2 linked regions of the Bombyx mori genome follow. The protein of the gene in region 2 interacts with the protein of the main gene of each other region in a pairwise test. Links are inferred from orthologs where the notes say so. Each region holds a gene or a part of one and is shown on either strand. Other genes may lie near its edges.

The links.
Region 1: the proteins of zinc finger TRAF-type-containing protein 1 homolog (region 2) and Ubcd4 interact in a two-hybrid assay, tested with the Drosophila melanogaster proteins (2 studies listed by BioGRID). The link is inferred for Bombyx mori from reciprocal best matches to the Drosophila melanogaster genes CG32486 and Ubc4.

What each region holds. Positions count from the first base shown.
Region 1 is NC_085107.1:6,306,278-6,314,652, reverse strand, and holds Ubcd4 (ubiquitin conjugating enzyme 4), read right to left. Parts: upstream 4,909-8,375; coding exon 4,846-4,908; intron 1,139-4,845; coding exon 986-1,138; intron 618-985; coding exon 234-617; downstream 1-233. UniProt on the Drosophila melanogaster protein: Catalyzes the covalent attachment of ubiquitin to other proteins.
Region 2 is NC_085125.1:14,635,925-14,644,299, forward strand, and holds the start of zinc finger TRAF-type-containing protein 1 homolog, read right to left. Parts: upstream 5,421-8,375; 5' UTR 5,379-5,420; intron 2,442-5,378; exon of another isoform or gene 1,494-2,441; intron 1,008-1,493; exon of another isoform or gene 331-1,007; intron 1-330. Other genes in the region: SAP30-binding protein, read right to left, coding at 6,578-7,438.

The sequences.
Region 1 (8,375 bases), on a different chromosome or scaffold from region 2:
TTATTGAGTTCAATAGTATAGTTCGCTTTCAAACGTACTTATATATAACAGTAAATTTTACTTGGACATCAAACCTATCTTAATTAGTGATATACTGTAATTATTTTTACGATGGATTGAAAGAAAAAAAATCTAAGTCCCCACAAAGGGCACACTATGAAAATAACAGGGATAATTACAACATCAAAGTAGATTGGTTGCAACACGTCTTAATTAAAATTTATTACAAATATCTAGCCAAAAAGTTGCTCAGTGGCACGCTCTAAGTCCCAATCATATGAGGAGAGAGCTACTCTGGCCTGATGTTCATCAATACCCATGTCCAGCATACGCTGCACTTTGCTATTGCATTCGTGTACTATATTTGGCCCACCAGCATAAACATTGGTCCAATGTCGTGCCGTCATAGTGAATAAACGAGGATTCTCTCTGAACTGTTTGGCGACCACAGCATCTTGTGGATCATTAGGTTCACCTGCTGACAGTAATGCTTGCAACGACAATAGAACTGTACGCAATGTTAAAGCTGCTGCCCATTGGTCTTTCAAGATGTCTAAACATATGGCACCGGTGACTGAGGACACGTTCGGATGCCAGATCTTGGTCAAAAAGCGTATCTGTCAAAAAGGAATATATTAAATAAAATGACTGTTTAGCTTTTTTATTTTGTGACTACTGTGCTAGTGTATTATATGTATAATGTAACACAGGCAAGAAGACACTTATGAACTTAATTAAAACAAAACTTATTGGACATATTATGCAGTGTTAATAATATGAATTTGCTTTGTTCTGCAATGCTGTTATTTAGTGTGCAACCTGTTTTTAAAATATTGTTTGTAGTATTATTTAAGATATATTGACGTTGTTTAATAAGTTACTAACATAATTTTTTTGTATTTAATAATTCATGGCTTGTACATAAGTGCAAAAATCTGTGCTGTTCAAAATTGAATTTTTATCTTAACTTAGTAAATAAACATACCTTAGGAGGATTGAAAGGATAAGTTTCGGGAACTTTAATTTCAAGGAGGAAGGTCCCACCTTCATAAGGAGTATCAACAGGACCAGCTATCTCGCCTTTGAGTTCAGTCCAATTCTCATTCACGAGTCCCAATTTTATGGAGCCACCAATCACCTATGAAACAAAAAGAAAACTCTTAACCTTTACTTATTCAATTAGTACTAGTATTAAAACAAGATAAAAATGATATATCGAACACGCATCGATATACAAAACAACACCAATTGGAACATTATTGATATTCATTGGAAACAAGTAGTTGTTCCACTTTAACCGATCCATCTGACCTCTGTCCAATGATAATGATATGAAATTGATGCTGAACATGTTTTGTTAGGAATAAAAATGAAAGATAATTTCTTTACTGTATTTTCAATCTGAAATAAAATGAATATTTGAATGTTTTAATAGTTAAGGCCATTTTTTCAATATAGATACATATTAAGAATATACAATAATCTCCTTCTTTGGTAAAAATTCTGGTTAATAAAATTTTCAGTATTACATACTTCCAACAGTGTTTTTTTTTTCGTTTTTTATCTATTTTTATAATATATATCCACTTGATTGGCTCCCTTAACCTTACCTATTCCCATTGTTAAACATTTATATAGACAGAAGTATACTATTGGCAGCTAAAGTCTCACTTATATTTGTATAGTAGATTTTACATTTCTCTTAGTCTTAAGCAGAGCTTATAAGTACATGTATCACAACAATGCATGCAGTTTTGTTATTGCTTTGATTGTGCACTAGTTTAAAACTCTGCTTCATGTCAATCTAATTATACTAAAGAATTTTTATTTATTATTGTTAATTATTTTCTATTCTCTTAGTTGATTTGTGCACAGAACAAGAATAATTTGTAGACACTGGTCATGATTTTCATAACATTTATGGGTTGTGCGGTGGTGTTGGATTTAGAATGAACTTTAATATTAGATTGCAAATAACTGATCGAAATTGGAATCTTTTTACACGCTTTATTCAGTTATAAAATTATTATATAGCAAAACTTGATCATAGAGATAAGTTCTAATCTAATTCTAAGAGTAATAGACTCTTAACCTATATTGAAATCATATTTCAGGACGAAAATGGGTTCCAAACAGCTTTATGAATACGATACCGAAATTAAAAAAAAGAAAACCAAATTTAAAAATTAAAATTAGATCATTTTTTGATTTTGAGATAATTTGATCAATGTAATCAATGTCAATTAAATATAGATCAATAAGGATAACTCAAAAACGACTGCTCAGACTTCGATAAAAATTGAAATTTGATAATAAAAAAAAAAAGAATCATAAAAATCAGTTGACCGAGAAAAACTTTTGAATTAACACAAAAAACAGAGCTGAATTGATAAATAGCCTCCTTTTTATGAAGGCTGTTAAAGCCCTAGAATTGATTGAGATATAAGTAATATGATGTTACATCGCAATATGTAGATCTTGAAGAAATGATAATGAATCTTGATGAAAATCACATCCGCCACCATCGCCACAGACTCATACAGGAGTCAGTCATCGTTGACGTCCTAGACACGTCCTTACAGATCTATCTGATCCAATAACTCGTGCATTAGATACCTACAACTCTAACTCTAGGAGCAAGTATATCGCCACAGACTCACACAGGAGTCAGTCATCGTTGACGTTCTAGACACGTCCTTACAGATCTATCTGATCCAATAACTCTTGCATTAGATACCTGCAACTCTAACACTAGGAGCAAGTATAGGAACCCTGCTAACCGAACTCATCAAACTCGTCAGAGTTCAAAGTAAATCTACCCTCTATAACATTTAGAGCCTGCTAAATTTCTCGCCAGATCTTCTCAGTGGGGCGCAATTCCGGTCTGGTAGAAGATGAATTCGTGAAGCAATTGCCCTTGAGATGGCAGGTTTTCTTTAGAGGTGCTAAGGCAGTTGTTAGCAAATCCCACTCCTCCTGGCAATTACAACCCTCTTTGTTTTCCCTGCTGTTTATATTTGCAGAAACATAAACATTTGTTCCATTTAGATGTGAGGTGCTAGAAGATCTCAGTGGGCAGCCGTGCAGAAGCTAAAGGTTAGAGAGAGATAAGAAATTGTGCAAGCTTACAATGCAGCAAGTATGCACTTTTAGATATACAAATATGACTAACACAATTACACAATGTGTCATTGTACAGTATATTATTTCAGTACAGAAGGTTAAGAAAAGTAAATGCAAGAGCCCTGGTAATTCAATTTAATGAATGGTATTCCTGAAAAACTCTTAATATGGATCTCAATAAGAAGATAGTTCCAATAATCTACACTATATATAAATAAACAAAAATTGGGCCTTGGTGCTAATGCAGTGCAGATATTTTAAGTAGGAGTAACCTTCTTACTACACATGCTAGCTTTCAGATACAACCTAGGCAGTAAAAGATACTTGCTAATTGGAGAGCACATACTTGCAGGAAGTGCAAAAACTTTGTCTAATGAAAAATTCAGTTTTTGCTGGGTTTGGGCTAGGACTGAGATATTTAATATTCTTAGTCTACACAAACACAGAATCTTATACCTTTAAACAAGCAATTCTTGTATATATATATAATCTGAATCTCGGAAATGGCTCCAACGATTTTTATGAAATTTAGTATACATGGGATTTCAGGGAGCGATAAATCGATCTAGCTAGAATTTATTTTAGGAAATGTTGTTTTACTTGTGTTTTCAATAATCAACTTTATCGATAATCAACTTTATGACTTCCCGACATATATTGGCGAATAATAATACTATTTTTCATAATTGTTTAAAGACACAATAACACTAAAGTTATTTCCACAGATGACGTTGTTAAGCCAACCGAAAGACAATTTATCAAAAAAAAAATTAATACCGAGCAAAGCTCGGTCATCGTCTAGTTCATGTTTATGAGGACAATTACTATTGTAATCAAAATGTGGATTATGAATGCTGTTAGCTTAGTATCGCCTGGATCATGTTCGGTACATTAATGTATTACATGCATTGCACGCAGGTGTGCTCTTACAATTGCAATAAATAAGGCAATCTGTCCATGACAATAGTGCTACAGATATTTAATTTAAAAAAATTCGGTATGTTATGTGTAAATATTGCTACTTGGTAAGCTGAACACATATACAAGGGGATGCTGGTGCCCCACACACAAGTTCTATTTCAATGGCAATCAATAATGAGGGAATAAATCCAAAATAATGTAAAAATACCTGTACTATGTCTGGCTTTTTGGAAGTAAATGGTTGCCTGAAGCCACCAGTGTCATAACTGTGATTTGATAAATAAGCCAAAAATACTTTTGCTTGGGCATAAATCGGATAAAATCTTTTATTTTATTTTAAACACAACTTCAATTACTTATAAAGATCAATGTGGGTAATATAAGTATTGTTTCTATTAAAAACATTGGTAGAAAATATAGAAAACAAAATGTTTACTTTTTCTCGTATGAATCACGAAAAACATTATAGATGTATTTTGAAAAGCTAATTTTACTATTACGAAGCAGTAAAATAATTCCTTTTCGACGAATTAAAAATAGCATTAACGTTTTGAATTTAAACAAAACATGATTTCTACAAGTTTGCTGAATCACGCACACATTGTTCTGAACTGGCTATTTGTTCTTTGTTTTATTATATCGAGACAATCCAACAATTTAGTTTCTTGGGCAATTTAACTATCTAAATAATAATAATGCATTCCAACAAAATATGACATTTTAACAAAAGTGCAAGTAACTCCAGTTCTACATTCTAAACATCAAAACAAATATAAAGTTTAGTTAAATTATTATCCATACCTCTTCACTTTTCATTATCTCTTTGAACTCTCTTTTTATACGTTTGGCTGCTATATTTGCCATTGTTAAAATTCTACTTAATTTTCACTTATTGCTTTACTGGATTCAAAAACGTTTAAAGCGCACGATCGCAGGCGATGAAATAAAGAGATTGATACCAGGATATTCTACCAAAGAGTTTTCAAAAACGTATTCCGAGCAAATGTTTACCACTATATCTGAAATTAAATTCTACCACACCCTGACGTCGAACATAGACTAAAAATATAAATTTGACATTCTCTTCTCACTTACTAACGGTATTACCATATCATTGCAATAATTTTCGGTAGTTTTCTTTCTCTATGAATTTTACTTTCTCTGTATTTCGTTCAGAAATCTCACAGATCACTCAACATTTTGCATGAGATTTTAAAGAGAAACAGACCTCGCATTCGTAAACGCATTTCAATAGGCTTCAAGTCAAGTTGTGTACTGTGGTTGGTTTGAATGTGTGGCAATAATTTTATTACCGTCTGTGATTTCCTATTCGCAATATTAAAATAAAAGTTAATTTAGTTTCGTGATGTTTGCTGTTAATAATAGTGAGTAAGTTTTAGGTCTTATTTTGAGGTATGACCAGTGTTATAAACAGTCTAAGGACGAAGTTATGTTAATTTACTCCCTATGTCACCGGGTTCCACCTATGTACCTGGCGCTTAAAGGTGCGTTGTGATAATGTTTATGTTAAAATTTTGTCTAATGCATGCTAAGTACCTCAATCCAATAGTAGTTTATGTTATGAATTTAAAAATAAATGGTGTTTGAAATAAGAACATGATGCTCTCGCATACATAAATAACTCGTGCAAGGCTATGAAGGGCGCCCGTTGTTCCCGAATACACACTTCATTGTGTACAGTCGTTACCAGTACTTAATAAAATTCTATAAATGATTTACTGAGGATGCTTAACATTATCCAAACAATAAAAATAATGCATTTGTTTACTTAATTACAAGATAAAAGGCGTGTAACTTTATAGAAAACTAATGTAATTCTAACATTTTAGTGTATAAGTAACCAAATTAGACAATCATAATAAAATTAAAAGTGTGCTGTTAAAGGTGTAAAGGTAAAATTCTAACACACAGCAATTGCTTATTACAAATTTAATAAAGTCACTTCAAAAGAATGAGCTATCTTGTTCATCAATAACGAAAATATATTTTTAAGAAGTTATCAACAGTGAGCACTTATGAAAACGGTTCACAATACACACAAAGAACGGAATTCAGAGTAATAAGTAGTCAGTTTCAAACCTAAATACTCTAGTATTAAATGCAAATATTAGACTTAATTCTACATCAATGTCTATTCAAATAGCTAATATAACATGTGAATACTGACATAAAATATATAAGTGTACTGACTACATTGGTGACTAATTATTGCAATTTGAATAAATGTAAAAACATAATAATTTTTGTGGAAAATAATATTTCTTCTGTTGAATTTTGTTCAAATGCTCACACAACAATTACTAAATAAAATACCTATAGAATTAGTAATTAATTTGATATGCATCCATGTTATTTGTTTAGATAAGTCATCTTGTGTTAAGTAGTTTCTGGAGCCCATAGACATCCATAAAATAAAGGCTGCCATCCACCTTAACACATGAACTCTAAGATCTCAGTTTTTACATTTGCCCCACCCTTTGAAACTATATAACATTACTACTTCACAGAGAATTTAGGCAGGGTGCTGGTGCCTACCTGTGCCTACTCACAAGACTTCCTACCACCAATATTAAAAACTTTTAAAAATCCTTATTAGGGAATAAAAATTGACATAGAATCTTCATCATAGATCACTCATTTTTCTTGTATAATTTTTTTATAGAATAAAAAAAGAACTCCACAGACCTGATATTATACTTCTTCTGTTCTTTTTTTGGTTTTTCAGCACAGCCTTAGAATGTTACATAATGAAAGCAACAAAATAATATTTCAAGAACTTATGTATGGAGTAGTATTATGTAAGAACTTATGTATTATTTAAAATTCATAAAAAATGTAATTGCATTGACTATGTTTTTGCTAGGAGATTAATTACCAAGGCATTAAGTGACATAAAATTTATACTGTCAGATGGTTATTGTAATGTGACTATCTATAGATATTACAACTATTTACAAGTCTATAACCTTATATATATTAGGTATATTAAGTTGTAGTGTCATGTTCCAAGTAATCAGTCAAGATGATTTCAATGAATTGCCTAAAACTTTAATACTGGATACATAATATATAATATAAAGTATCATAAATAGTATTATATAGAATAGATTAGACCACCTAATGTTGAGCAGCTTCCAAAGTAAAATGACAATGAAATGAATTTGCCACCACTGAACTTATAATCTTAATTTCACATACCAGATAATTTAAATATATCTGTTTGAACTGGATGATTATTTTGCAGCCCACATAGGTAAATGGCCAACGGTGCAGATCACAACACAATATACTACTAGTACTCATGATGTGATTTGGAAAAAGTGTTTATTAGGAATAGGATTGGGTCACTATGTGTTGAATCTGATTAAGCTCTAATAAATATACTTCAGGGCAATGAATGCGGGTCACCTAAAGATACCTAATAATCTTGGAAACTAAGAATGCTAGCTTAATAAAATAAACTGTGCTCAATAGATAGAATATAATACCTCTTAAATGAAAGTAATGACATTTATAAGTCACTGCATTTTATTTAAAAAAAATTACATAAAATAAAAACTGCTGATCCCGCTCTTAAAACAAAAATAGGAAACATAACATTTTTGTACAACAATATGATTTTCTTGAATTTTAATACTTTATATTGCCTCCTCGTTTCGGGGTTTTGTTGTTTTACGTATTTCCCTAGCTCTTCCCATGCATGCTCGATCGAGTAATGTTCATCTTTTGTAGACGAATGTTTCATTCACAATGAAACCTGTACGAGGTCAGGAATTGTCATGCCTAAAAATAGCATCCTCACTAAAAATGACCATAAATGGCCCAACATGTTCATTAATGTTCATGTTCATTGCTAGTTAAAGAGCCGTTTTCTATGGACGCCAGTTCTGTGCGACTCTCAGATGAAATTCCGGCCCACAAAAGTACAAACCCATCACCGTAGGCTACTTTTTCTTCTATGCATGCTTGCTTGAATCTTTGCCCTTGTCTTTTATGCACTCTGTATCTTCCATCGTGCTTGTAGAGCATAAATTTTGATTCGTTGGAGAACATAATGTTCGATCAATCTTCAATAGTCCAATTTAAATGGTTCAGGGCATATCTTAGTCTTGAAATGCGATCGTCACGCTCCAGTTTAGGGCCATTTTCAGGTCCAAGTGGTTTCAAGTTAGCGTCAGCAAGTCGTCGACTTACTGTCTGTAAGTACTGTAATGAATCAAATTCCTACAATCTTCTAGATTATAGATTAACCATATTCGAAAATTTTACATCTCGAAACTGTAGAGTTCTATTTGCAGCTTTTAAGACAA
Region 2 (8,375 bases):
ACTTTGTTGGTGCAACTAAATAAATAAATAAATTAAAACTATATATAAAAATAAAAGTAGTGCCAACCCTAGCAAATTTCTCATTTCGTCCCAATTAACCGCAATTTTCAGGTAAATAGGGATTACACCTATTTTTGCATTTTTTGCTTAAACTGGAATGCTACTTGCATAATTTTAAATTAGACAACAAAGATGCCTCCAAGACTCAATCATTTTGATCCTGATATAGCATTATATACATCAACAACTACCTTAAAATTGCTCATAAAGTTGGAATTTGTCCCTAATCGCCCCATTATACGGTATGTGTACTGCGCATGCCATAAGTGTATAATCTATGGCGCATGCGTCAACTATAATGCCTAAACTTTCTACGCGGTTTTAATCGTGAAAAAAAAACAATTATAAATCCTGAAGGATCATTTAATTGGATACAGTTTAATTAAAAAAATTAAAAAATAAATAAATAAAATAATGTGCATTCGCGTAAAGTTAGCCCAAATACATTTTTTCCATCCTCCTATATACCTATCGCTATGAAGGTATAAAAAAGATAGGTTAAGAGTTCACATAGGTAATATAAACAAATAAGTAAATATGTTCATTATTTATCTTTCAAGAGGTAATGTAGGTACGGTATACATTATAATAACATTTTGACACAGTCGAAATTATATTCCTAACATTAGTAAAATAACATTTTAATATTTTTTTTATAGGTTATGTATTGAAATTGTTGGAAAATTATTTCATGTTTTAGCTGGAAAACTACATGGAGAATTATATGCAATACAAGATAATGAGCTCCATTAAATGAATTCGAATGAAACCAAACTGTTTACCATCCAAATTCGATTGTCGGGCAGATAGAAAACGAAAATTCACTCATAGTGAACCTCGGCCTGCATTTGTGAAACGGCAAAGACTCACTATTATCAAGGAAATTGAAGAGACAACTAAAAATGAGATGTGTCGTATTATTATACCTTTGCCATCTTGTAGTCAAGGTAGGTGTAACTGTCAATAATTAGTTACACTCACAGATCTCCTAATCAAATAACAATATCAGAAAAAATGAGAATAGTTAGTTAGTTAGTGGAAGTAGCCAAAATGGGCAAGTGGATCTCAGTTCCTATTACATAAGGTACTAGGAAGTTTGTGAAAATGAAAATTTATCACAGTGTAATATCACTTACTTACTTTAACAGTGAAGGAAAACATTGTGATGAAACCTGCACACCTAAATGTTCTTAGGATTTTCTTAGGTGTGTAATCCACCAACCAGCAATAGGCCAGCGTGGTGGACTAAGGCCTAAAAACCCTCTCAATGGTAGTGAAGGCCAGTGTCCAGCAAGGGGATATATTATATGGGCTGATGATGATGACTAGGAAGTTAAATACTACTACTACTACTACGACAGTACACATATAATCCTATATATTTACAAACTATACGTTTGTTGGAAATTGCTAACATTATTTCATATTTCCAGATGTCCAGCCACTTGAAAATAGGTGTAGTAATGACAAAGCTATCCAAGTAGCTCCAGCACAGGAACACAAAGGCAAGGCAAGTGTGTATTGCCACATCACCCCTTAATATATCTGAAGCAAGTATAAGTAAACAATCAGAACCAGCAAAAAAAAAACTGTTGTTCCTGAGGACAAATTTGACAGTGATGAGTCAAATGCACCAGCAACAGAAGGATCAACTGTTGACTATGAGTTATCTCTCTATATCTCCACTCCATCAAAGACTTGTGCACTTCAGACTATAGCTCTCAAGAAGACTAAAAAGTTGAAAAAATGAATGTGTTAACAACTTTATCTAAAGTGAAAAATAAACAACGTTTATATATTGGTCTTCCACAAGAATTATGTTTCATAATAGGCTTGATTGAGAAACATACAAATGTTTCTGAACAAAATATTATATTATGTCTGATGAGAATAACATTAAATAGAACATTCTCTCAATTGGCTGATGATTTCGATTTATCTGTAAGTCAAGCAAGCAATATATTTTTCAACAAACTCCCAGAAATTGCAAATGTAATATCACCCCTTGTTAGACTATAAAAAAAACAATACAATAAATATATATGCAGGAAGGATAATTGATGTCAACTTGGTGGAAAATAGAAAGTTTTTAGATAGTTTGCCACCTACAAAACTCTTTAATTAAATAAGTAATCCTTACTTATAATTGAGGAAGTTTTGTAAGTATTTTCACTCTTCATTCAAAAACTACTGAACAGATTTTAATAAGACTTTTATGCTGGTCTTCTATGGCTAGCAACTCATTATTATTTTGATTCTGTTTTCCACAAATGTGCTAAATATGGGCTTATATATATGAAAAGGAATAAATATTAATGTTATGTAACCTTTGTACCTGTATGTTAAGAATAATTTTTAATAAAACATAATTTAAATTGAAATATTTTTATTAAATCACATTCACTTTGTACACATCAATATTTTGTACTCCCTAAAAGGAAAATAGGTATAAAGTTTTTTTTAAATATTTAACATTACATTTTTGTGTAGGATTAGAAAATTGTTATTCTTCCAAAAAGAAACTACATTATCTAACAACTGTGCAACTTACTCGGAATCAAAATCAATACCTACTAATTATAGTGACCTGATTAGTTTTTTCAAAGTTGCTGGATGCTACACAAAAGTAGCAAGTTTTACTTTTAGCACAATACATATGCATTTGAACTTGTGCATAATATCTTTCTTTAATTTTTTTTTGCCTTTTTATTTATGGAAACATAGCATTACTCACTTGCTTGTTTGTAGATCTATCAAAAAAACATAATTTATGTTTTTTTTAGCACAGTGGACAATACCCTATTATTCATATTAATTATATACGGCGCGGCGATGCGAAAATTCATTACTGAATTATTTAAGAATGATAGGCATAATATAATATTTTAATTCGCGATCTGTTTATAATTTTTAATATATGATTTAAAAATAAGTTATCTTTAATATTTTTAATTTTGTGATTTATGGGGTGGTCACAGTCATTATTATAAAAATAGAAATTTTGAGGAAATATAAATGTTTAATACAAATTATTTTGATAATCGAAATAAATTCATATCAATCCAAATTCATATTTGAACTATGAAAATTGTATGGTATGTAAACAGAAATATATTTTATAATTATAATGACTATTTATTCCATGCAGTATCTGTGCAAGCTTCTCTAACCGACACTGCAACTAGAATAAAGTCTAATAAAGAATAAGAATAAACTTTTCTTCGAAGCTCAATTCTACAAGGGTATTCAATCAGATAGATATCTCTCTGTCGTTCCTGTATGAAATTTTGGTATGTCGAAATCTTGGATAAATCCAGCAAAGCTAAATAAAGTATTTACCTAAAAAATATGTTTATGCTTAAAGTCACGTGTTTATGTTATTCGAAAGTATTAAGCTCCAAGCAGCATTTAGCTCCAACTAAATTCATTAAGAACCAATTTTTCAATCGATGATTAAAACAACATTAATACTGAGAATGAATATTTATTTATAAAATACACATATGTTTTGACCACGAATTTTGCACGATAATGAATAAATATGAATTAATCTTCTTCTTCTATAACCCATAGTCAACAGTTGATCCTTCTGTTGCTGGTGCATTTGACTCATCACTGTCAAATTTGTCCTCAGGAACAACAGTTTTTTTTTTTGCTGGTTCTGATTGTTTACTTATACTTGCTTCAGATATATTAAGGGGTGATGTTGCAATACACACTTGCCTTGCCTTTGTGTTCCTGTGCTGGAGCTACTTGGATAGCTTTGTCATTACTACACCTATTTTCAAGTGGCTGGACATCTAGAAATATGAAATAATGTTAGCAATTTCCAACAAACGTATAGTTTGTAAATATATAGGATTATATGTGTACTGTCGTAGTAGTAGTAGTAGTATTTAACTTCCTAGTCATCATCATCAGCCCATATAATATATCCCCTTGCTGGACACTGGCCTTCACTACCATTGAGAGGGTTTTTAGGCCTTAGTCCACCACGCTGTCCTAGTGCTGGTTGGTGGATTACACACCTAAGAAAATCCTAAGAACATTTAGGTGTGCAGGTTTCATCACAATGTTTTCCTTCACTGTTAAAGTAAGTAAGTGATATTACACTGTGATAAATTTTCATTTTCACAAACTTCCTAGTACCTTATGTAATAGGAACTGAGATCCACTTGCCCATTTTGGCTACTTCCACTAACTAACTAACTATTCTCATTTTTTCTGATATTGTTATTTGATTAGGAGATCTGTGAGTGTAACTAATTATTGACAGTTACACCTACCTTGACTACAAGATGGCAAAGGTATAATAATACGACACATCTCATTTTTAGTCGTCTCTTCAATTTCCTTGATAATAGTGAGTCTTTGCCGTTTCACAAATGCAGGCCGAGGTTCACTATGAGTGAATTTTCGTTTTCTATCTGCCCGACAATCGAATTTGGATGGTAAACAGTTTGGTTTCATTCGAATTCATTTGATGGAGCTCATTATCTTGTATTGCATATAATTCTCCATGTAGTTTTCCAGCTAAAACATGAAATAATTTGCCAACAATTTCAATACATAACCTATAAAAAAAATATTAAAATGTTATTTTACTAATGTTAGGAATATAATTTCGACTGTGTCAAAATGTTATTATAATGTATACCGTACCTACATTATCTCTTGAAAGATAAATAATGAACATATTTACTTATTTGTTTATATTACCTATGTGAACTCTTAACCTATCTTTTTTATACCTTCATAGCGATAGGTATATAGGAGGATGGAAAAAATGTATTTGGGCTAACTTTACGCGAATGCACATTATTTTATTTATTTATTTTTTAATTTTTTTAATTAAACTGTATCCAATTAAATGATCCTTCAGGATTTAAAATTGTTTTTTTTTCACGATTAAAACCGCGTAGAAAGTTTAAGCATTATAGTTGACGCATGCGCCATAGATTATACACTTATGGCATGCGCAGTACACATATTTTGTATACATTTATTCAACTAATACAATTAATTAAACAAAAAATGAGTAATTTCGAAAGAGAACAAACGTATTTTATATATGAACAATCGAAAATGAATATTTACGAGTAATTAAGGACGAAAAAATATTAAAAATTGCAATCGAGGGGCTAACTTTTAGATATATTTTTAATATTTTTTTTAAAATAAATAAATGGGGAACAAACAATTATTAACAGTGAACAATCAAGAACAAATGATGAACAAACGAATTAATAGAAAATAAGTAGAAAACAGGAAAAAAAAATTTTTTGAGGGGCTAACTTCATTCACCCTGGGAGTTGCACCCCCCTGATGCAAACAAAGGAAGGTTTGTTGTGTTTATGTCTAAGCCATCCATAGACTATTTTATTTGATTTGTCCAATTGACTTCGGCAAAAGGAATGCAGACTATAAATTTATAGCAAAAAAATCAAAGCTATCAAATGAATACTGAAAATAACTAATATGAAAAAAATTAAGATTAAAATAATATTAAGATTAAAATAATATTAAGATAAAAATTAAGATTAAAATAGCTTCTCGGTAAAATAATGAGAATTTACTGAGAGTTAGACTTTTTGAAAATCATCTGCGACAGAACAAATCTGTTACTCACACTTGTGCACTTATCTGTATCAAATTGTTAGGTAAGCCACCACTATAGCATGTTTTCTAAAACCAGATTAAGCACTATATAAAACGAAATTTTTTACACAGATTTAGATTCGAAGACACTTGACACATGGTAGGCAGCGGCTTGGCTCTGCCCCTGGCTTTGATGACGTCCACGAGTGACGGTAACTACTTACCATCAGCTGGGCCGTATGCTCATCTGCCTACAAAGGCAATAAAAAATAAAAATAAATAATCATCATATTATTTGGCTGCCAAAAAGTAAAGACAAATAGTATGTTAGATATTAAATACCATTTGTATTACAATGCTTTTTGGCTCTCATTCTCATTTACAAATCTCAAACAATTATGTTTAGTATATAATTAATTAATTATAGTATAAAGTTGTATACAAGACTGAATAAGGCAATGAGATATTTATTTTAGTAATTGTGTTTTAACCAACTTGACATGCATATGGATGCCAGTATTCACAAACATTCATATACTACTGAGGAAATCTTTAAAGTAAGGATTAGTGTTAATTGCATGGTACAAAATACTATTTTACTTTAATTACTTTGAGGCAGAAATGTGTAGATGGTTGTGGCTATCCATAGAGCTATAGTACTATACCTCTATAATGCTACAGCTGCTGGGATTCATTCATTAAACTGCTTACAAAAATGTTATAGTAAAAGCATTTTTATTTCCTGACATTTGACTGATATCTTTTATGTAGAAATCCATGATTATATTTTTCAACACTTTTATTATTGATCATTTATTTAATATATTTTTAAGACAAATTTATCATTAAGATTATAATTGTATCTCAGTCCATCTAATGATCATCATTCAACATTTACAGCTGAATGACGTTTCTCACATCAGATCTTTGGTTTTTTTGGTAAAGATCCAAAAGCAGCAATGACAGTTCCCTTTGTGCCAGTGATGTTTGTTGTCAGTGGTTGTTGCACTAGGCCTGGTTGTTTGATATTCGGCTTAGAGCCTATATTGGGAGCAGCTTGATCCCATTTTGATTTTCTTTTCTTTTCATCGTCACTTTCAGGTTTCTTGGCAACTCCACTGATAAAGTCAATTTTTGACAATTTTTCTTTTTTTTCTTTCTCTCTTCTCTCCATTTCCAGTTTTTGAACTTTAGAGAGTTCCTCATAGTAAGATTCTTTCCCCCATTTTAATGGATCATATATTTCTGGAGGATAATTTGTATCAAGTTCATTGATATCACAGAATTGTATCAATTTTTCATATATACTTGGATTCCTAAAATTTTTCTTGTCCTGTATGATTCTATTCATGTCAAGTCCTTCTGTTAACATGCGGTTGTAAAATTTTGCTATAGATTCTTGTAGTTCTTTGGGACACTTTCCTGATGGTTCAGGTGGGATTGTGATGCCGTCTTCGGAGTCATCAGGGTCTGATCGCTGTACTGCTTCGTCTGTATCGGTCTCCATGGACAAACGGCGCATGTCATCTTCATTTTCATTAACTGGTGATGTCGGTTCTTCGTCAGACACTATCGTGTCATCTACGTAGCTAACTAGACTTTTCTTAGGGGAAACTGGAGCTGAGGCTGGCTTGTTACTTTCCTCCACTTTCCGAGGACTGGTCGGGACGGAATGAGCTTCTTTTGGCTCTTCTTTTTCAGGCGTTTGGTCTTCCATATCTTCTTCGCCTTCAGAGTCGGTGTAAGTCGCTGTGAGCGACGCTAACGCTTGGGAAGTCATTATGTTGTTACAGCTTATGTTACACAAAGGTTGCTTTAATAGAATATGGCAACTTTCTTTAAAACCAAATACCCATTTAATTTAAGCAAAAAACACGTCTAAATATTCTAACAAACTCTGACATAAAATAGATGAAAATGACATATGACATTCAATCAATGTTTATTTGGCTTGTTTGAACATTCAACAGGCAAATGGAATATAGCCCATAACAAACAATGGAATCCTTGAGGTCAAAAGCTTTGTCTGTTAAGCCTGCAATACATATTGGTCGAGCGTCGCCCATTGAACGCCAATATCAACGTCTTGCCATCGCTCGCTGTCGTTCACCTAGTTAGCCGAGTAAAGTCAAGCGCTAACTTGTTTAAAACTCATTTGGCGTAGCTTGTCACAACTTGCGGTCGCTCGCGACCACTTGCCGCACTTCAGGGCGCTGTCGGTTTTTCTGCACAAATCAAAGGCGCTAGCACGCACTAGGCCAATAGTACTGTCTACATGTTTGTCAGCGCGCCATCACGTGGTTGGCGACGGTCGTGTGTACGCGTACAAAACGTCACTCACAACTGACGGAGCCCAACGTGTGGGCATCTCTTCAAAATTCGTCTTTATTGGCCATTTGCATTGGTTTTGGATAACCTGCCGAACGTGTAGGCAGTAGCACTTCCCTTGCACAATTTGTCTCTACGCTCGCGTTGGCCTAAGCTCGACCAACATGTATAGCAGGCTTTAAATGAAAAGTGAAATGAGACGGAATCAATTAAAATTGACGATAGAAAGAAATTAAATGAGATAAGCAAATACTAATTGAATCATTGTAATTCATTTTTTGTCAAATCGGTATACACGTCTTTAATCTTGTCTGACTTAAGATTCTGGGAAGCTAAAGCTAATTTTAGAAAAATGTCAAAAGCAATTATATATTATGCAAACTTATATT